3 linked regions of the Macaca fascicularis genome follow. The protein of the gene in region 1 purifies or fractionates together with the protein of each later gene. This does not show direct contact. Links are inferred from orthologs where the notes say so. Each region holds a gene or a part of one and is shown in the gene's direction. Other genes may lie near its edges.

Evidence for each region.
Region 2: the proteins of MTNR1A (region 1) and GNAI2 purify together in Homo sapiens (tandem affinity purification; 3 studies listed by BioGRID and IntAct, with this or other methods). This does not show direct contact. The link is inferred for Macaca fascicularis from reciprocal best matches to the Homo sapiens genes MTNR1A and GNAI2.
Region 3: the proteins of MTNR1A (region 1) and GNAI3 purify together in Homo sapiens (tandem affinity purification; 3 studies listed by BioGRID and IntAct, with this or other methods). This does not show direct contact. The link is inferred for Macaca fascicularis from reciprocal best matches to the Homo sapiens genes MTNR1A and GNAI3.

The regions. Positions count from the first base shown.
Region 1 is NC_088379.1:191,295,210-191,301,876, reverse strand, and holds the end of MTNR1A (melatonin receptor type 1A), read left to right. Parts: intron 1-2,820; coding exon 2,821-3,689; 3' UTR 3,690-4,628; downstream 4,629-6,667.
Region 2 is NC_088376.1:113,279,839-113,287,247, forward strand, and holds part of GNAI2 (guanine nucleotide-binding protein G(i) subunit alpha-2), read left to right. Parts: intron 1-3,680; coding exon 3,681-3,723; intron 3,724-3,979; coding exon 3,980-4,121; intron 4,122-4,604; coding exon 4,605-4,765; intron 4,766-7,409. UniProt on the Homo sapiens protein: Guanine nucleotide-binding proteins (G proteins) are involved as modulators or transducers in various transmembrane signaling systems.
Region 3 is NC_088375.1:124,758,461-124,765,869, reverse strand, and holds part of GNAI3 (guanine nucleotide-binding protein G(i) subunit alpha-3), read left to right. Parts: intron 1-3,705; coding exon 3,706-3,863; intron 3,864-6,936; coding exon 6,937-7,065; intron 7,066-7,409. UniProt on the Homo sapiens protein: Heterotrimeric guanine nucleotide-binding proteins (G proteins) function as transducers downstream of G protein-coupled receptors (GPCRs) in numerous signaling cascades.

The DNA.
Region 1 (6,667 bases):
CCCCCAGACACCACACACTCCCCATGCACACATGAACGCCTGTGCTAAAGCTTTATGTGAGCTACCTGATAGCCATACCTGTATGGAGTCTGTGGCTTAATTAATTTTCACCAAGCATTTGTAAAATGGGATTAATTCAAAGAATTAAACTAATGATCTAATTAATGTAATTACTTGAATTATAAGGCAATGTAATTACTATAAAATAAATGAAGCAGGGTATTCGAGCCATGAAAGAAATTTACGACATCATTTGTGATTTCATTTTTAAGGTCTTTTAAAAATAAATCCAATATTAGGCCAGTTTGTCATCATGACACTCTGGGTAAAAATGTGCTGTTAGAATGATAATTTAATTTGGAACAGAATTTCACATAGTATAGATACTTCTAAAGCATTAAACATTTTGAGCTAATAATTTATTAAAATATGCCTCTTAGGAATGGAGGTGTTTCAACACTAATTGAAAGTGATCTGTGGGAAAAATAAACTTGCCTTTGTAACTTTAATTTGGATGAATACAACCAATTTTTAAAGAATTTGCTTTTATGACAATATATCTGAAATTCCTAAATAAATGGCACAGATTTTACCTTTCTTTCATCATGACTGCTATGGGCTGTTTCATTTCAAATGTTGGGAAGTGACAGTTTAATGAACTCATCAAGTGTATGAGCAAAAGTCACTGTATTTATTGGGTGTGGTCTAGGACGCAAATATGAGGAAATGTACTCATATTTGCAAATATGAGGAAATGTACTCATATTTGCAAATATGAGGAAATGTACTCACGAGGGCCACTGTCTCGAGTCAGGCAGGGAAGCCTGGCTTACAGGTCAATAGAATAGAAGGCGAAATCTTCTGTCCCTCCACCTGGGGCTCCCTCCGTCCCTGTCTAGCGCACCCCTTTCCTCACTGCTTCTGGTTCGGTGTATGCTCTGGTGCTGCTGCTTACTCTAGTGTAATTTTCTCTTTCTTTTTTTTAATTTGAGACGGAGTTTTGCTCTTGTTGCCCAGGCTGGAGTACAATGGCGCAATCTCTGCTCACTGTAGCCTCCGCCTCCCGGGTTCAAGCAATTCTCCTGGCTCAGCCTCCCAAGTAGCTGGGATTACAGGCACCTGTCACCACGCCCAGCTAATTTTTGTATTTTTAGTAGAGACGGGGTTTCACCATGTTGGCGAGGCTGGTCCTGAACTCCTGACTTTTGATCCACCCACCTCGGCCCCGCAAAGTGCTGGGATTACAGGTGTGAGCCACCACTCCTGGCCACTCTAGTGTAATTTTTTTGGCTTTTCCTGTCTCTCAATTCCTGTTTCCCCAGCACCAAATATATGCATTTACTATGTAAACTGAATTGAATTTATTGTAATTTAACCTGAGTAAAAAGCAGTACAAAGTGGTTTAAGACCCTTCAAAGGAGGAGGCTCTTACCTCTAGGTGGACTCTTACCTCTAGGTGGGCAAACGAGCAAAGGCCTCGGCATTTCTATTTGAGATAGACTTGGGAGAACGGGTAACATTTAGAAAGTTGCTGTGAGGAGCCATTCGAGGCAGAAGGAATAGTAAGAAACAAAGGCAGAAGAGCCGCAGAAGGGAAAAACCATATTTGCAGAACATCTCATAAAATTTGACTAACGTAGCTGGGAGCAATGTATCACACCTGCCATCCCAGCACTTTGGGAGGCCGAGGTGGGTGGATGGCCTGAGCCCAGGAGTTCGAGACCAGCCTGGACAAAATGGCAAAACCCAATCTCTACAAAAATACAAAAACCAGCCTGGTATGGTGGTGTGCGCTTGTGGTCCCCACTATTTGGGAGGCTGAGGTGGGAGGATGAGCCCTGGAGGTGGAGGTTAGGGTGAGCCAAGATCAGATCATTGCACTCCAGACTGGGTGACAGAACAAGACTCGGTCTCAAAATAAATAAATAAATAAATAAATAAAAATAAAAAAGTGACCAGAGTTTTTTTTTTCTATAATTAAATATGTGTTGCTATGTTGAGAAAATTAATAGTTAGACTATTTAGGGTTTAAGTTTTGTAACATAAGTTCTTTATAAAATCTAGGAGAATTTCTGCATTTTCCTTTGGTTCAAGGTGAGGGAGTCGTAGAATAAGAACATTTCTCTGGTGTAAGACACGGTGCATGGCACTCGCCACAGATAGTCTCATGTCATGCTCACCGCAGCCCTAAGAGGAAGATGCTCATTATCCCATCATCTAGGAGAGGAGGCAGAAGCTTGGGGAGGTCAAGTAACGTGCCCCGGTTGGACAGTTGGTATGGATTGAAGCGGTGTTCTCATCCAGACGGCCGATGACACAGCCCTCTCGGTCGTAACTCCCGCGCTGTGGGATCAGCGAGAACAGAAGCTAGAGGCCCCTTGGGAGCTGCTGCAGGACTCCAGAGGGAATGAAGACTTGAACTTAAGGCAGTTGTGGCTGGCTTGAGACATAACATCATATGAGATTGCTCAGGTGATGTAGAAGGCTCTAGAACAACAGATGGAATGCAAGTATTCTGATCTCAGGACTTTTTAAGAAATGAGAAACTGAAGGGTTTGAAAGACAGTAGTTTTGAACAGGGAACAGGGAACAGGGGCTGTTCTGGGGAGGCGGGAACGTGTGAACAGTGGATTTGATATGTCACGAGTGGCAGTGGGCTGGCGTCCTGTGAAATGGCCTCCAGTTCATTTGCAGTGTGGCAGCAGCTGTGACGTCAGGTCATCAGAGCTGCAGGCAGAAGCAGCTCCTTCTTTAACAATTGTAACAGAAAACCCAGTGTGAACTGGTATTCACTGTATTTTCTAAACGTTTCTCTTTCAGGAAACATCTTTGTGGTGAGCTTAGCGGTGGCAGACCTGGTGGTGGCTGTTTATCCGTACCCGTTGGTGCTGACGTCGATATTTAACAATGGGTGGAACCTGGGGTATCTGCACTGCCAAATCAGTGGGTTCCTGATGGGCCTGAGCGTCATCGGCTCGATATTCAACATCACCGGCATTGCCATCAACCGCTACTGCTACATCTGCCACAGTCTCAAGTACGACAAACTGTACAGCAGCAAGAACTCCTTCTGCTATGTGCTCCTCATATGGCTCCTGACGCTGGTGGCTGTCCTGCCCAACCTCCGTGCCGGGACTCTCCAGTACGACCCGAGGATCTACTCGTGCACCTTCGCACAGTCCGTCAGCTCTGCCTACACCATCGCCGTGGTGGTTTTCCACTTCCTCGTCCCCATGATCATTGTCATCTTCTGTTACCTGAGAATATGGATCCTGGTTCTCCAGGTCAGACAAAGGGTGAAGCCTGACCGCAAACCCAGGCTGAAACCACAGGACTTCAGGAATTTTGTCACCATGTTTGTGGTTTTTGTCCTTTTTGCCATTTGCTGGGCTCCTCTGAACTTCATTGGCCTGGCCGTGGCTTCTGACCCCGCCAGCATGGTGCCTAGGATCCCAGAGTGGCTGTTTGTGGCGAGTTACTACATGGCCTATTTCAACAGCTGCCTCAATGCCATTATATACGGGCTACTGAACCAAAATTTCAGGAAGGAGTACAGAAGAATTATAGTCTCTCTGTGTACTGCCAGGATGTTCTTTGTGGATAGCTCTAACGACGTGGCCGATAGGGTTAAATGCAAGCCGTCTCCACTGACGACCAAAAACAATCTAGTAAAGGTGGACTCGGTTTAAAACGGCACCGCATTCCCCGCGAGATGCACACGCTACTCAAGGCCTCGCGCCTTTCCGTGTTGCCTTTCCTGTTGACAGAAAAGCCGGGTGGTGGAGGAACCTTCCAGCTTTACCTTTTTGCTGCCATAGTTTCTGAACTAATGTACTGTCAGCTTTGTAAACACCTCCAATTCTACCAGTCAAGAGAAGTACAGAATGTATAGAGTTACATGTTAACTGAGGAATGTGGTTCAGGGCTGGGGTGAGAGTGAGCTGCTGACTGCATTCAGGGGAAGGAGTGTGCAAACTTTTATTGTAAATGAGGGCCACAAAAGGGGTAATTTCATTCTTCGCTTTTTGAAGATTTCTAGCAGAAAAATGAATAGAGAATTTTATTTATAAATGAGCAAACGGAACAATTTTTTTTTTTTGTAAATGGAACAATGAAAGTGGGATGAGTGCCTCTTATTACAGAGGGAAAGGCTGAACATAAATCAGTTAATGGCTCATCAACAATCACAACCACAACCAACACCACAAACCTTTCAGTTGGCAGAGTTAGCATTGGGTAGCTACACTCATGGTCATAAATGTTTGCTGCTCTATACTACAAGTTGTGCATACAACCAGATAAAGAACTAAATTATAGGCTGGGCACAGTCGCTCACACCTGTAATCCCAGCCCTTTGGGAGGCTGAGACGGGCAGATCAGCTGAGCTCAGGAGTTCGAGACCACCCTGGGCAACATGATGAAATCCCATCTCTAATAAAATACAAAAAATTAGCCGGGTGTGGTGGTGCACGCCTGTAATCCCAGCTACTCAGGAGACTGAGGCAGGAGAATCCCTTGAGCCCTGGAGGCAGAGGTTGTGGTGAGCCGAGATCCTATCAGTGCATTCCAACTTGGGCTACAGAATGAGACTCCGCCTCAAAAAAAAAAAAAAAACTAAATTATATTACAGAGCTCTTATTCACATGTCAATTACCCTGGGACTTTAAAGTAGTAGCTATGTATACAATTTTATTTAAATGTACTAGACATTTGGCTTATTATTATTGTGTCACTGAGCAGCCGTTTTGAATTGATCTCTGTTAATTCATTAATTTGTCAAATGAGCTCAGTTAAAAATGACAAATGAGCTCAGTTAAAAATGACAAAAGATCAAGTTGCTGTAGACTTTTTGATATGGTGCTGAATCTGTTCTAGATTGACGCTTTAGTTGTGCAAGTAAATAACTGAAACCAGATAGCTTTTCTTTTATAGATACTGCAAAACAATGTTCTTCAATAATTCATTTTAGAATTTCACTGCCCTAATAGTACTGAAAGTCTGAGCGAAGAAAAAATGCATTGCAAAACTATGCTTTCATAAACTTTGGCGGAAGTTTACCCAAATGGTTATTTGAGACTACTCTGAGATATGTTATATCAAGTGTTTTGCTACAGATTATAACCATGTTTTCTTGTATTTTAAAAGTCTGTAGCAAAGCTGTCACATACTAGAATAAATTGCTGATTTGCAACTATATACGTAAGACAACAAGTTATCTGGATATATTTGCTAATGATTCTCTTCATTAAGCATATTTGGAAAACACCAAATTATGTTTGTCGTTGTTGGGGTGTGTGTGTGTGTGTGTGTGTGTGTGTGTAAGTTGTCTCCAAAACTTTACCCAAGTCATTTATGTGTAAAAGTTCTGAGTTCTTATCAAAATCAAATTTAAATAGTAAAGATAATATTTAGGCCAGGTTCCAAATTTCAGATAACCGAAACTTAAAAAATTAACCATGCTCAACTGAAGGCTTTTTGCAGTTTATTTTACACTCTTTTCTTGATGCTTGGTATGAATTACTATGTTGCGATATGATTCCTTTGTTCTTTATGGAATTTTATTTCTTTATTTCTATATTGTACTATATTTGAACTGTATGTCAGCAAACATAGTGAATAGAAAACTGTGCCCTTTAAAATATTGCCAAGAGTATCTCACCTGAAAATCAAGAATGTAAATTTAAAATATTGAAATGATTTTTCACTACCATCAGATAGTTAAAATATTGCCAATGGAACAGCAACTCAGAAAGATCAAAGTAGAGACCCTGGTTTCCCCTACTAGAATCCCATGTAGAAGTCTCATAATCATTCGAGGTATTTTCTCTGGTTCCTCACTGTGATATCAATAAGTAGAGCGTCCTTAGCTCTGTGTTTTTCCCTCTGGAAAAACTCAGATATGTAATCAGTTGTGCTTGATATTTTCAGTGTACAAATTATTTTGTAGTCTCTTTGGAAGATTATCTCTTTCAAGACCATTAGATTAGGACTTATCAAATGACTGTTGCACAGGACTAGTGGGTGCCTGGGTAGCATCGTGTAGTATCACTGGAGATGTGCTCCTTATTCAAGGAAGCGACTTTATCTCTTTCTTTTTTTCTTTTTGAAACAGAGCCTCGCTCTGTCACCAGACTGGAGTGCAGTGGTGCAATCTTGGCTCACTGCAACCTCTGCCTTCCGGGTTGAAGCAATTCTCCTGCCTCAGCCTCCCGAGTAGCTGGGACTACAGGTGTGTGCCACCATGCTCAGCTATTTTTTGTGTGTGTGTATTTTAGTAGAGATGGGGTTTTACCATGTTGGCCAGGATGGTCTCAATCTCTTGACCTTGGGATCCATCCACCTCGGCCTCCTGAAGTGCTGGGATTACAGGTGTGAGCCACCGCGCCCGGCCCGGAAGCAGCCTTTTTCATGAAATCTGCTAAGCTGTATTAAGGAGCTGTCGGCCTGTATTGAGGCAAGTATCTGCAGTCTGTCAGAATCACTTGTTTCCAGGGTAAAGAATATTTGCCAGTCTCCCCTCCGCCTATGGGAGTACTAGTGGTGATGTGAGGGTTGGCATAAAAGAGATAATGATATTTTCTGTGGCATATTTGCAAATTCTAGGATTATTTGCACTTGTCTATAGCTGGGATTTCACTGCCTAGGCTGGAGGCTTTGTGAGGCCAAA
Region 2 (7,409 bases), on another chromosome or scaffold:
AGTGAGGCTACTGCCTCAGCTGCCAGAGCACTTAGCCTGTGGGCTGCCCAAGAGCTCTTCACCCCACCCATTCCATCCAGATGCCATACTCCACCCACCTCTGCTCCTGGCCCCCTTCTTTGCTGGAGCTGCTCCTGGGCTGTGCCCCTGCCTCTGTCCCATTGTTCCCCCTGCTTCCTGCCTGACTGCCAGCACCACGCCCTTGTCCTGCCACTCACTACTTCCCGCCTGAGTCACAGCTGCTGGAAAGACAAAGAGACCAGCCTGAGTCTAGGGATAGAGGCTCCATGACCTTGATTTGCTTACCTGTCAAGTGGAGGTCTTTTTCAGTGACCCCTGCTAGGGGTAGAGAATGTTCTCTTAACATTTAAGAGGCCTTAGGAGGGGAAACTGAAACTCGAGGGGGACAGGGAAGTGGGCCCTCTCAGGGCTGGGGCAGGGAGCAGATATCCTGGCTCCTAGCATGACTGGCTCTGTGCTGCCTACCTCATGTCTACCAGGTCTAGCTGCTGCTAGGAAAATCAGATGCAAAGCAAGTTTGTACCCTCATCACTGCCCCTCGGCAGGGTCACAAAGCGGCCCACATCACCTACTAAGAGTGTTCAAAGGGCCAGACCCCCTCTTCACTCCCAGTGGCCAGATAGGGAAACTAATGCCTCAAGTGGGCAGGAGTCCTGAAGTCACACAAGAGGGGGCAGCTTTCACCCTAGACCTCAGGTCCCCCATCCCCTGGGTAGCTTCCCTGCTGAGTCTCGGCTTGCCTCATTGGGGACTGCATGGAGACTCATGACTTGGCATCCTTGGCCTCTGCTCCTTCAGTTCCCCCCATCCTGGCTGTGACTGGCTCCTGGTTCTTCCTCCTGCTCTGGAGGAGCCAGTGAGGAGGATAGTCAGGTGGCTACTGCTGCCTTCCCTGCCCCAGTGGGTGCTTTGAGCCCCAGGGGGATGGGCCTTGGTGATGGGGCATCACTGTGAGGCTTTCCTGGGACCTTTCCCTGTATCCCCATTGGCAGGCGGAGGAGTGTTAGTATGGAGATCCTGGCTGCCCCTCTGCCATGCACAGCCCAATGGGGAGGGAGTGGTGCTAGTATATACTCTGGTATACACCCCAGTGAAGATAGTGGGCCTGGCACCTGTAGTGCCCAGGGGCTAAAGCAATAGAGGGGATTGCTGCCCCAGCCTGCCCAGGGCCTGCACATTTGTATGTCCACAAGGTTGTGCAACCATCACTGCTATCTAATTCCAGAATATAATCACCACCCTCAAAAAGAAACCTCTTACCCAACTAGCTGTCACTCCCCATCTCCCCACATCCCCTCCCCTCATCCTGGAAAGCAGGCCTGGGACAGTCAGAAGCTCAGTGATTGCAGACACCTGGTGGCATTTGTGAGGAGGGTTCAGGCCCTTCCCCTCAGGGTGGTCTCTGGCGTAGGGGGCTGAAGGTGGGCAGGGGCCTTGGCACGGCCTGCCACCATATCCCAATGCCTGCTGCTGCTTGTTGAGCACTGCGCACATGGCCCAGAGTCTGCCTGGGGAGACAGGGAGTGAACCCAGTGCCAGGTGGACTGTGTGGCTCCGCTGCAGTACCAGGTACTCAGGACAGTTCTAGGAGGGACTGCATGGTGGACAAATGCGCTCCCTGCAGAGGGGACTCTAACCTGTGACTTCAGCCTCCCTGGACCTCAGTTCCTTCATTGGTTAGAGCAGGGTGAGAATGGAACCCACCTCCCAGGATTGCTGTGGAGGTGGCAGTTGGTGGGTGTCATTGATGTAGAACAGCATCCGGCACATGGTGGGCGCTGTTTTCATATAGCTTTGCTGTCAATATTGCCGATGTTATTGTTACTGCTTGTGTTTGTTTGTGTGTTAGCACCTTCATTCTTCTGAGGTAGTTTTGACCAGCCCCGAGGGATACTGGTAAGGTTGGCCTGAGTCCCCAAGTTTGACCTCTGCACAGACTGCACTGGCCACCCAGCTAAGCTGTACAGAGGAACAGACGTGCCACAGTGATCAGAACTGAAACACTGTGAATGGGGCATGGGGCACATATTCCCAGCAAAGAGAACAGCATGAGCAGGGTGCTGGAGGTGGCTACAGGTAGTACCTGGCAGCTGCAGGTCTGACTGGCAGTGATGGAGCAGGAGCAGAGGGGTCTGGGAAGAACAGCAGGGCCCAGCTGGGGGCCATTCGACCTGGAGCTCAAGACAGCCAGCAGCAAGGGAGCAAGGTCAAGGTGAGGCCTTGCCTCCACTCCCTCTGGCCCCTAGCCAGGGAGTTGGGTGGCCCTCCTGGTCCTTCTTCACACAGACTCCCTGGGTAATACAGGCTCCTGGGCTGCACTCCTCAAGATCTGGCTGTTATCTGGGATGGGACCTGGGAGTTTGCTTTTTTTTTTTTTTAAGACCAAGTTTCGCTCTTGTTGCCGAGGCTGGAGTGCAATGGCATGATCTCGACTCACTGCAATCTCCACCTCCCAGGTTCAAGCGATTCTTCTGCCTCATCCTCCCGAGCCTCTGGGATTACAGGCACCCGCCACCATGCCCAGCTAGTTTTTGTTATTTTTAGTAGAGATGGGGTTTTGACATGTTGGCCAGGCTGGTTTCGAACTACTGACTTCAGGTGATCCACCTGCCTCGGCCTCCCAAAGTGCTGGGATTACAGGCGTGAGCCACCACGCCGGTGGAATCTGCTCTTTTAAACACCTCCCCAGGGCATTGTCCTGCAGGGTCTTAGCCACATTTTGAGAATGGCAGGGTGGACCTGGCATCATGGGTTCCCTCCACCCTCTTGCCCTTCTGAGTCCTGGCTACATTATCTTAGATCAATATTTTATTTTTCTGAGCCTCAATGTCCTTGTCTGTAGAATGGGAACAGAAACAATATCTTCTGTGACTAACACGAGAGAATGCAGCAAATCTCAGTACCAGCTAAGGAGAAATATGGGCCAGGGGTGTACCAGGCCAGGGAAAAGCTTGAGTCAGTATGGGCGTGTGTGGGTGTGGGTGTGTGAAATACATCGCAGGTCTCCCAGATTCATGAGTCAGTACGTTTCTGTGTTAAACTGTAGGTCTCCCAGATTCTAGCCTTCTAGCCTCCATCTGCTCAGGGCAGACCTGGGTGCCGTGAGCAGAGGGCGGGGCATTGGGCCACGTCCAGAAAGCTGAAGTGTGACGCTGTGCTCCTGCTTAGGGCCCTGATTGCTAAGGCTCAGAGTGTGGGGAGAAGAAGGGCTGCTACCCTGTTGGATGGAGTATGCAGGGCATCTTCCTGCCAGCTCTGCCCAGGGTACCATATTGGCATGCACCAGCTGCACAGGTTGGTGAGCCTATGTATGTGAGAACAGGTTGACTCCTTCAGGTCTGGCCAAGTCTCCAGCCAAGACCCCTGAACTCAACCAGGACAATGGGGAGCCATGGTGGGCAGCAGAGCTTGTGGGAGGCAAAGGCCTGCAGAGAGTCTGCCATGGGGCACAGGTGCTCTAGGTTACCTTGACCACTGTGGCCCTGCCAGCTGCATTCCTGATAGCTCAACTGCCCACCAGGCCCAGCTGCCTCCATCTCACAGTGTAGCTGGTAGGATGGTTAGTTCTGCCTCCTGGGCTACAGGTGTCTGGGCATTTGTTCTGTGCCTGTGGAGCCCCTCTGGGCCTGCCCCCTGACCACCTGTGCCCTCTGTTCCAGGTGCTGGGGAGTCAGGGAAGAGCACCATCGTCAAGCAGATGAAGTAAGTGCTGTATCCCAGAGGCAGTGCCCAAACTCCAGCTTCCCCTCTTCATCCTCTGGGCCTGTACTGCCCCCGACTACAGGCCCAGCCAGTCTTAGCCAGGCCCAGAACCTTCTCAGAGGCAGTCACTTATCCTCAGGTCCCAGTGGGTCAGGGGCAGTTTTTTCTTCTCTGAAGCAGGTCCCAGCAGCCCCAGGCAGCTGTGGGAACTCCCAGTGCCCTGGGGACACTAACCTTCCTGGTTCCTGGCTATCAGGATCATCCACGAGGATGGCTACTCCGAGGAGGAATGCCGGCAGTACCGGGCGGTTGTTTACAGCAACACCATCCAGTCCATCATGGCCATTGTCAAAGCCATGGGCAATCTGCAGATCGACTTTGCCGACCCCTCCAGAGCGGTATGTGCCCTCCGCCCCACCCTCTCCCACCTCCCAAAAGGTTTCAGGGTGGCTGGGTGTGGTGGCTTATGCCTGTAATCCCAGCACTTTGGGAGGCTGAGGCAGGTGGATCACCTGAGGTCAGGAGTTCAAGACCAGCCTGGCCAACATGGTGAAACCCCATCTCTGCCGAAAATACAAAAATTAGCCGAGCATGGTGGCACGTGCCTGTAGTCCCAGCTACTTGGGAGGCTGAAGCAGGAGAATCGCTTGAACCCAGAAAGTGGAGGATGCAGTGAGCCAAGACCGCCCCACTGCATTCTAGACTTGGTGACAGAGCTAGACTCCATTGCAGAAAAAAGAAAAAAAAAAGGTTTTAGGGCAAGTCTCATCCTAGGGAATCCAAGAATACCCTAGCCTGGGCCCCATTCCAGAGGTTTCCCTGCCTCTGGCAGGGTGGGGGTATATTCCTTCAACTGCCTGACCACCCGCCGCTGTGCCCAGGACGACGCCAGGCAGCTATTTGCACTGTCCTGCACCGCTGAGGAGCAAGGCGTGCTCCCCGATGACCTGTCCGGCGTCATCCGGAGGCTCTGGGCTGACCATGGTGTGCAGGCCTGCTTTGGCCGCTCAAGGGAATACCAGCTCAACGACTCAGCCGCCTAGTGAGTGCTCTGAGGGGCTGGGCTGGGCAGGGCAGGGGCTGGGGGAGGACTAAAGGCTGGACTGGAGGGCCTGAGAACCCCCAGAAGGACACTGCTGGTCTTTGCTCATGAAACCGAAGACCGTTAACCAAGGCCTTGGTGTTTTTTGGTTTGGGGGGTAGGTGGGTGACACGTTATTGAACGACCAGGAGGAATGACAGGCAGGTGGCTTATACAGTACATCTCTTCCAGTTGAGTCTGATCTGTCTTGACATACACTCTTCTAAAGAACATTTGCAGCCGGGCGCGGTGGCTCACACCTGTAATCCCAGCACTTTGGGAGGCCGAGGTGGGCGGATCATGAGGTCAGGAGATCGAGACCATCCTGGCTAACATGGTGAAACCCCGTCTCTACTAAAAGTACAAAAAATTAGCTGGGCGTGGTTGCAGGTGCCTGTAGTTCTAGCTACTTGGGAGGCTGAGGCAGGAGAATGGCGTGAACCCAGGAGGCGGAGCTTGCAGTGAGTGGAGATCATGCCACTGCACTCCAATCTAGGCAACAGAGTGAGATTCCATCTCAAAAAAACAAAAAGAAGGCCGGGCGCGGTGGCTCATGCCTGTAATCCCAGCACTTTGGGAGGCCAAGGCGGGTGGATCACGAGGTCAGGAGATCGAGACCATCCTGGCAAACATGGTGAAACCCCGTCTCTACTAAAAATACAAGAAAAAAAAAATTAGCGGGGCGTGGTGGTGGACGCCTGTAGTCCCAGCTTCTCGGGAGGCTGAGGCAGGAGAATGGCGTGAACCCGGGAGGCGGAGCTTGCAGTGAGCCAAGATAGTGCCACTGCACTCCAACCTGGGTGACAGAGCGAGACTCCATCTCAAAAAAAAAAAAAAAATTTGCTGCCACCTGTTCTGTGCCAGGCCCTGTGCAAGGCTTCAAGGACACAGTGATGAGTGGAGCAAAGTCCCCATGCAGTGACAATTTAGGATGTTAGTGAAAAGGTTGAGGTGGGGTTGACCCAGAGGCAGGATTGCTGAGCTCTGAAGGAGAGTCAACCAGGGGAGGAGTGGATGAGGGGATTCCAGGCAGGGGCATAGCATGTGCAGCATCCTCGGGGTGGTGGAGAGCTGGCTGTGCTTGAACATAGGCTGTGGAGGCTGGCTGGTGGGGGCCACAGGGGAAGAAGTTATCTGGGAGGTGACAGGTGTGTGTGTAGGTCGGAGCCCCTGGACCTCACCTCTGACCCTCGCTGGCTCTGGGCTGAACCCAGGACTCAGCTGAGGAATTACAAGGGGTCCCAGGAATCCCAGAGGCATGACAGGTCTGCACCCTTTCCACAGTTCTGAACTCCTTCGCTGTGGTATCTGTCATGTACTCGGACTGGTGGAGGGTGCTGAGGAACCCACGGGGAACAGGACAGACAGGCTGATAGCCATTGAGGATGGCTGCAGGGGACATCCACAGGCTTTGGATGGTGTCACCAGATAGGCTGCTGTCCCTGTTCTCTAGTCTTCCCTGATCTCTGCTTAAGCCAATCCCCTCTGTCTGGAACACCCTTTTGCTCCTATTGTTAATCCAATCCTGAGCCCACCCAGAGGGTGGATTTCAGCAAGGGTAGGTGGGAGGAGGAGGGTCCTGAGCCCTGTGCCAGCCACATGAACAGCCTCCTCCTACCCTCCTTACATGGCCTGAATGCTCTTGTGAATACGTACCCCCTACAGGAGCTATGCAGTCACAGTTAAATGCTGTGGGGGCCCCAGGCCTCACCACTGCCCCTCCCTGAGATCTCTGGCCCAGCCACCAGCGAGCTTGGCGCTCAGAGCAGCAGGGACCTTGGTGCCCATGATACTCAAAGGGAGCAGGGATAGAGCCAGCTCCAGGCCACCTCCCGCTTCTCCATCATTCTCTTTCTTCATTCTTCAGACATTAGGCACCCACTGTGTGCCCAGCACAGTTTTGGGAGTGAACACAGGCTCTGCTCTCCCAGGCAGGTTTATGCCTTGACAGTTCCCCCCAGGGATGAGTTGCGGATTGGAACACCACAGGAAGCAGGGCTCCTCCAGCCCCTCATCACAGCAACCCTCCAAGATTGCAGTGAGGCAGGGGGTCCCTGGGGTGAACCCACCTGTTGGGGAAAAGGGAGAGGCTGGTGTGGAATGCACCATGGTGCCTCCACATTGAGGGCTCTGTCAGTAGGGGGCGGTGCGTGGTATGCGGGTCACAGCACATGTGTCATGGTTCCCCATGGCCCTTCCTGTTTTTCTGTTTTGTCCCTGCTACTCTGAGATCATTTCCCTCTGGCCTGGTTTGGCCTGGTTGCTGGTGGGAGCCAAGGGCCGGCCCCAGCCGCCTTGCCCCAGGAATGAGAAATCGGCTCTGGGCAGCAGCCTGGAGGCCTCGGACCAGCCTCCAGGGCATGGCAGGGATATTGAGGCAGGCAGCAGAGGTAGGACCCTGCAGGGGTAGCCTTGATACTAATTAAGGGAACCTGGTAATGAGGAGCCCCTGGGACCCTGGCCAAGCAGGTGTCTGTGCCCTCCCCCTGAGGAGCCCAGATTTCATTGGGTACTGGGCAAAGAGTCCACTGGGCCTGGTAGGCCCTAACCTGTCCAGCACCACATCGAGGGACCGCACCAGGCTGCTCTGCGGCTAGTGCCGTAA
Region 3 (7,409 bases), on another chromosome or scaffold:
CCCTTTTCTCTTTCCCTCTTTAATTTTATTCCCCACTGTCTGTCTTCCTTTATTTATCTCCCTACCCTTTCATTTCTTTTTTTTTTTTTTTTTTTTGAGACGGACTCTCGCCCTGTCACCCAGGCTGGAGTGCAATGGCACAATCTCGGCTCACTGCAACCTCCGCCTCCCGAGTTCAAGTGATTCTCCTGCCTCAGCCTCCCGAGTATCTGAGATTACAGGCGTGCGCCTCCACGTCCAGCTAATTATTGTATTTTTAGTAGAGATGGAGTTTCACCATGTTGGGCAGCCTGGTCTCGAACTCCTGACCTCGTAATCTGCCTGCTTCAGCCTCCCAAAGTGCTGGGATTACAGGCGTGAGCCACAGCGCCCGGCCTCGTTTCTTTCTGTTATCAAATAATTGTCATTAATCTTTGGGTCCTAACACTCCTGTGTCACCAGATGCAGTTGACGTCATTAATCCCTGTCAGGCCTCCTAAATCATCCAGCTTTCTGGTGTCCACATAACCTAATCTGTAATCCTATATTATAATTTTTAAATGTTTCTTTTTTTTTTCCTTCTGTGTGTAAGGTTTAATGTTTATAGCTCCTCTCTTATTGTCCTCTAGTGTTTTTGTTTGTTTGTTTGTTTGTTTTTTGAGACAGAGTTTTGCTCTTGTCACCCAGGCTGGAGTATAATGGCACGATCCTGGCTCACTGCAACCTCTGCCTCCTGGGTTCAAGCGATTCTCCTACCTCAGCCTCCCGAGTAGCTGGGATTACAGGCACCCGCCACTATGCCTGGCTAATTTTTGTATTTTTAGTAGAGACGGGGTTTCATCATGTTGACCAGGCTGGTCTTGAATTCCTGACCTCAGGTGATCCACTTGCCTCGTCCTCCCCAAGTGCTGGGATTACAGGCGTGATTCACTGTTCCCGGCCTCTACTCTAGTTTTTTATAGTTGGTTAGAGAGTGTGAATGGAAAAAAAGAAATAGAGCTGGGTGTGGAATAGGTTACTTTTTCACATCTGCTTAAGTGTGGGGGTGTAAAATTTATTATTAAGAGAGGCCTCTTCTCTTTTTTTTTTTTTTTTTTGAGACAGAGTTTCACTCTTGTTGCCCAGGCTGGGGTGCAATGGTGTGACCTCGGCTCTCTGCAACCTCTGCCTCCTGGGTTCAAGCGATTCTCCTGCCTCAGCCTCCTGAGTAGCTGGGATTACAGGCATACACCACCATGCCCGCCTAATTTTTTTGTATTTTTAGTAGAGACGGGGGTTTCTCCATGTTGGTCAGGCTGGTCTCGAACTCCTGACTTCAGGTGATCCATCTGCCTCGGCTGCCCAAAGTATTGGGATTACAGGCGTGAGCCACCATGCCTGGCCAAGAGGGACCTCTTTATAGACCTTTAGAGAGGGTTTATTGTGGGGAAGCAAGAGCAGGTCAGTGGAAGAAATTAAGTGATAAGAAAAAAGTGTTTCCTCCTAAAAGAATATTTATAGAGTCAGGACAGCAAAAAAAGTAGTAATAATTCCCTCTCTTTTGAAGTTTCTCAAATTAGAATTGTATTTTGTTTTTTTTTTTTTTAAGTAATGCTTAATAAGATGATTTGAATATGTGCGTGAGTATAGGTCAAATTTCAGAACCAAGGGATTATAAAGACTTCAAATGTTAAAGCACCATACCTTGCATGTGTAGAAGGACATGCTCACTGTTGAGTATGTTTGCCAATTTGTCTAATATTTCAACTTTTCTCTTTCATTTGTTTAAAATTTTATCTTTGAAAAGAAAGGGAGGGGCATATAGATGTCAGCTAAGGTTTCTTTTCTTTTTTTTTTTTTTTTTTTTTGAGATGGAGTTTTGCTTTGTCGCCCGGGCTAGAGTGCAGTGGCACCATCTCAGCTCACTGCAACCTCTACCTCCTGGGTTCAAGCAGTTCTCCTGCCTCAGTCTCCCGAGTAGCTGGGACTACAGGCACACCCACCACGCCCAGCTAATTTTTGTAGTTTTAGTAGAGACAGGGTTTCACCATGTTGGCCAGGATGGTCTCAATCCCTTGACCTCATGATCTGCCTGCCTCGGCCTCCCAAAGTGCTGAGATTACAGGCATGAGCCACCGCGCCCAGCCAGCTAAGTTTTCTTAGAGTTGAGCCTAGTCTACCGCCATGCCACCCTGAATGCGCCTGATCTCAGAAGCTAAATGACAGTGGGTTGAGCCTAAATATTACTAGAAAGAATACAGGAAAGGATCATAAAGGAGGAAATATTACTAGGTAAAAACCATTAGAGCTGGAGACCCAGAGTTTGGCAACAATAATTTGAATGCACTTTGGATGGTTTTCTTTTGGTAAGGTGGATGCACAAGTTCTGGTAATTCACGAGTCTTTGGAGTTTTTGGTTGTGAGTTCACCTGTGGTCTGAAATGACTTTTGTTTGTTAGTTTACTTGTCCTGATGACTACTTAAGATACAAATGATTGCTCCCTTTTCTCCTTTACTTTTTCTTTACATGTTATATACTTTTTAAATGTTTTATTTTTGTAGTTATTTGGAATCTCTCAAGGTAGATAAATATTAGATGTGGTTGGGAAAATCATCCTGTGAGACCTGTGTTTATTTTTAAACAACAAGTAGGGATGGATAGAATAAAGCAAAACAATAAAAATCTCATAATCCATTTCTGTCCTGTCTGTCACATATTTTATGTTTAAAAACTATAACAACCTAGAAAACTATGGCTATGTCTAGGCCCGGTGGCTCATGCCTGTAATCCCAGCACTTTGGGAGGCTGAAGCAAGTGGATCACCTGAGGTCAGGTGTTCGAGACCAGCCTAGCCAACATGGTGAAACCCCATCTCTACTAAAAATAGAAAAATTAGCTGGATGTGGTGGCAGACGCCTGTAATCCCAGCTACTTGGGAGGCTGAGGCAGGAGAATCACTAGAACCCAGGAGGTGGAGGTTGCAATGAGCAGAGATCACACCATTGCACTCCAGCCTGAGTGGCAAGAGCGAAACTCCATCTCAAAAAAAAAAAAAAAACTGTGGCTATGACTCATGAAGTTTTGGTTACTTTCTTTTCCTCCTGCTGCCTTCCTTTCCCTCTCTCAGAACATTATTATTATTCCTTTAGGGAAATCTAGGGACTGTTTGAATCTTTCCCTGAGGGATTTATTTCCCGCATTAGACTTCTAGACTCCTTAAGTGCCTCCATCTCCTCTCCTTGTTCTGCTCTCTGGGCTGAAGGCAAAGAAGATAATACTTTTTCTTAAACTTGATTAATGTTTTACTCCCTTTGAGGTGTTTAGACTTTAACTCTTATGTGCTAGTCTTTTTATTTCTATTTTTATTGTAGGCTTCCTTTAATAGAACGGGAATGTTTTACATAAGCCTGTCTCATAAACCAGTTTTTTTCTCTCAAAAATTATTAGCAATCTGGATGGAGATTTGTGGGCTGGCCAGAAATGATCTTTTCTGGGGATGGTGATGTGTGGAGGAGTGGTGGGGAAGTAAAATCATTTCTCAGCTCAGTTCTGGACTTAAAATGGTAGTGGAATGAGAATGAGGAAAGACTTAATTATAAATTCTGTCATGCTGGCCTGTCAGAAAAGGTCTCTGTAACAACACCTGTTTTAACATAACATGTAATGTGTGTATATTTTAAAGAGACTGTCATCAAGGCTGAAGGAAATGGAGAGTCATCTGTCTCTTTCTTAACTGCTTTCTTCAGGATGATGCCCGACAATTATTTGTTTTAGCTGGCAGTGCTGAAGAAGGAGTCATGACTCCAGAACTAGCAGGAGTGATTAAACGGTTATGGCGAGATGGTGGGGTACAAGCTTGCTTCAGCAGATCCAGGGAATATCAGCTCAATGATTCTGCTTCATAGTAAGTAATTTTTCTCCATGAAACTATAACAGAGAATAACTTGGTGACACTAGAGAAAGTTTAGTGCCCATCCTTAAGGAAATGTTTAAGTAATAGACACTCTTAGAAGTTTATAGGATGCTTTATAAAAATTGTCTAAGTTTAGGATTATAGAGCCCTTGGTCATTTGTATGATTTGGAGGAAAAAGTTCCCTCTTGGAATGTAAATGGGAGACTTGGCACCACTAAATTAGTTCCATGGCATTTTATTATAAGCAAGTGAAGGAGGAGAGACATCTATTGTGGCTGGGTTCTGAATCTGTTCCAACTCATAAGTTCTGTGTAAGAGCTTGGCACTGATAGCCAGCTAGAAAGGGAAATTAGAATTGTGGTATTCCTTTTTATGCAGCCAGCTCTCTGTGTCTGGGCTGCACCGTGGATTTCACTAATAAATATTTTGCCAGATCACAATAGTAGACTTTGTATAGAAAGAGGTTGAGTCATGGAATGAAGTTGAAGTATCTTTTTTGTCAAGGATATTATCTTGAGTGTTAACATAGTTTTAGAGAATTTGTAATGAATACTTATATAAAGCTATTACATGTTATCCCATTTTACCTCTTTTACATATACTTATTTATAAAACCTAGATTCAGAATTTTTTTTTTTTTTTGAGACGGAGTCTCGCTTTGTCGCCCAGGCTGGAGTGCAGTGGCGCGATCTCCGCTCACTGCATGCTCCACCTCCCACGTTCACACCATTCTCCTGCCTCAGCCTCCTGAGTAGCTGGGACTACAGGCGCCCGCCATGACACCTGGCTAATTTTTTGTATTTGTAGTAGAGACGGGGTTTCACTGTGTTAGTCAGGATGGTCTCGATCTCCTGACCTCGTGATCCACCCATCTCGGCCTCCCAAAGTGCTTGGATTATAGGAGTGAGCCACCGTGCCCAGCCCAGAATGTATTTTTTTAAATGTACTTTTGCGGGGCCTGGTGAGCACTTGTTATCTGTATTTCTCTTTGTACTTTTAAGCATTAGGGTTTTTTCTCCAATATTATTGTTTTCCTACTTTTCACATCATCATTCTAGCTTAAATTGTTACAAGAAGAAATTAAATGATATAGTCAGGCTGTGCATAAGGACAGGGATACATTCTGAAACATGCATCATTAGGTGATTTGTCATTGTGTGAACATCATAGACTATGCATACACAGAATTAGATGGTATAGCCTACTACACACCTAAGCTTTGTGGTATATCCTGTTGCCCCTAGACTGTGAACCTGTACAGCATGTTATTGTACTAAATACTGTAGGCAATTGTAACGTAATGGTAAGTATTTGTATATCTCAACATCTCTAAACATATAAAAGGGTAATAGGGCCCATGATGTCACTAGGGACTAGGAGTGTTTCAGCTCCATTATAATCTTACAGGATCACTAGCATACATTTATGGAGTCTGTTGTTGACCAAAACATTGTTATGCAGCGCATGACTGTATTTGAAAACTTTCTTATTCTTTCAGTGAGAACTTGACTTTAGAAACGTTTCAGGATTCTTGCCTACCTTTTAATAACATATTTTAGTTGCAGGTATTGAGAGCTTAAATAATTCTACCAGTGGTCAACAAAAGTAGATTATAATTGCTTTTTTCATCATTCATTCAGAAAGCTCTGAATCCTCTAACTACATGTGCTTACATTATAGAGATTTTCATAACAGTTGATCTAAGTTTGCCTCTTTACATTAGTGATAGTATTTGGTTTTATAGATCATTAATGATTCACTTATATTGGTGCCATCTGCTCATCAGTTTTCTAGCCTGAAATCAGCAAAGAATATAGTTTTGAAGCAGTCTTTTAATTATTTCCCTGAACAAATTAATTTTTTTTGGAGGTATTTACAATTTGTTTTTGGTTTAGATTTAAAAAACCCCCAAACCTCCCCAACTCTTCTGTTTATTGAAAGAAAACGGAAAATATTCTTACTCACTATAGTTCTCTTAATTTTAATAAATTAAACACCATTCTCTAATGTCCTGTCAAATGGTTAAACACACATGACCTATTAAGTTTAATTGTCTGAGGACTTTTGGTATAATTTGGTTTTGGTATTATACAGTATGCAGTTAATTTAGTATTACATTTCAGGAATTTTTCTTTACTAAAAACATTTCCTGTTCCTATTGTTTTAATTTTTTAAATTGGCCTTCACAGTTTAATTCTGTAGAATTAAACCTACTTTTGTGTCTGGGCACGTTGGCTCACGCCTGTAATCCCAGCACTTTGGGAGACCAAGGCAGGCGAATCACCTGAGGTCAGGAGTTTGAGACCAGCCTGGCCAACATGGTGAAAACCCATCTCTACTAAAAATACAAAAAATTAGCTGGGCGTAGTGGTGAGCATCTGTAATCCCAGCTGTTCAGGAGGCTGAAGCAGGAGAATCACTTGAACCTGGAAGATGGAGGTTACAGTGAGCCGAGATCACACCACTGCATTGCAGCCCGGGTGACAGAGTGAGACTCTGTCTCAAAAAAAAAACAACAAAAAGAAAAGAAAAGAAAACAAAAACCTACTTTTGTTAATGTATATAGACTCTATACTTTAATTGTCCTATGTTGGATTCGTATTTTTTCTTATTATTTATTTCTTTTTTTTAAGAGACGGGGATCTCACTCTGTCACTCAGGCTGGAGTACAGTGGCACCCTGCAGCCTTGACCTCTTGGGTTCAAGTGATCCTCCTGCTTCACTCAAGGGTAGGAGGATTAGCTAGGACTATAGGCGTGCACCACCATGCTTAGTTAATTTTTAAAATATTTTGTAAAGACAGGGGTCTCTTTATGTTGCCCAGGCTGGTCTTGAACTCCTGGCCTCAAGTGATCTTCCTGCCTTGGCCTCCCAAAGTGTTGGGATTACAGTCATGAGCCACCATGCCTGGCTTCTTATCTTTTCTATGATACTGAAGATCTGATTCTGTTTTGCCACTCTAGTAACTAGTAACAGGTTTAGAATAGGAACTAATTTAGTCTGTTGATTTGCTATGCACATGGTTGGCTTCACCAAGTAAAAGTAAGTGTGTCTTTTATTTAGTTATCTAAATGATCTGGATAGAATATCCCAGTCTAACTACATTCCAACTCAGCAAGATGTTCTTCGGACGAGAGTGAAGACCACAGGCATTGTAGAAACGCATTTCACCTTCAAAGACCTATACTTCAAGTAAGTCATTAGCCTTTTTGCTAGGTGTGCCAAATACAAGTATCTTTTGTTTTAGTTTACCATCTCTTAATCAGGGCAAAATTCCTCTGGGCAGTATTCCTTGGTTTAGAAACTTAACCTATTTATCAGCATTGTTTGAATATTTTAACTGAATGGGGGCCCAAACATCTCTTGTTTCTCCAAATAGCATCAAATGTTTGTGTCCATTTAGAGGAATTTAAATTCAAAAATAAATTGTAACTTGCCTCCCAGTAAAATTTTTCCTGTGATAACTGGTTTGTTTTAATTTTATTCTTTTCAGCTGCTTGTTAGACTCACCAAAACAGATATCGAATGTTTAATAC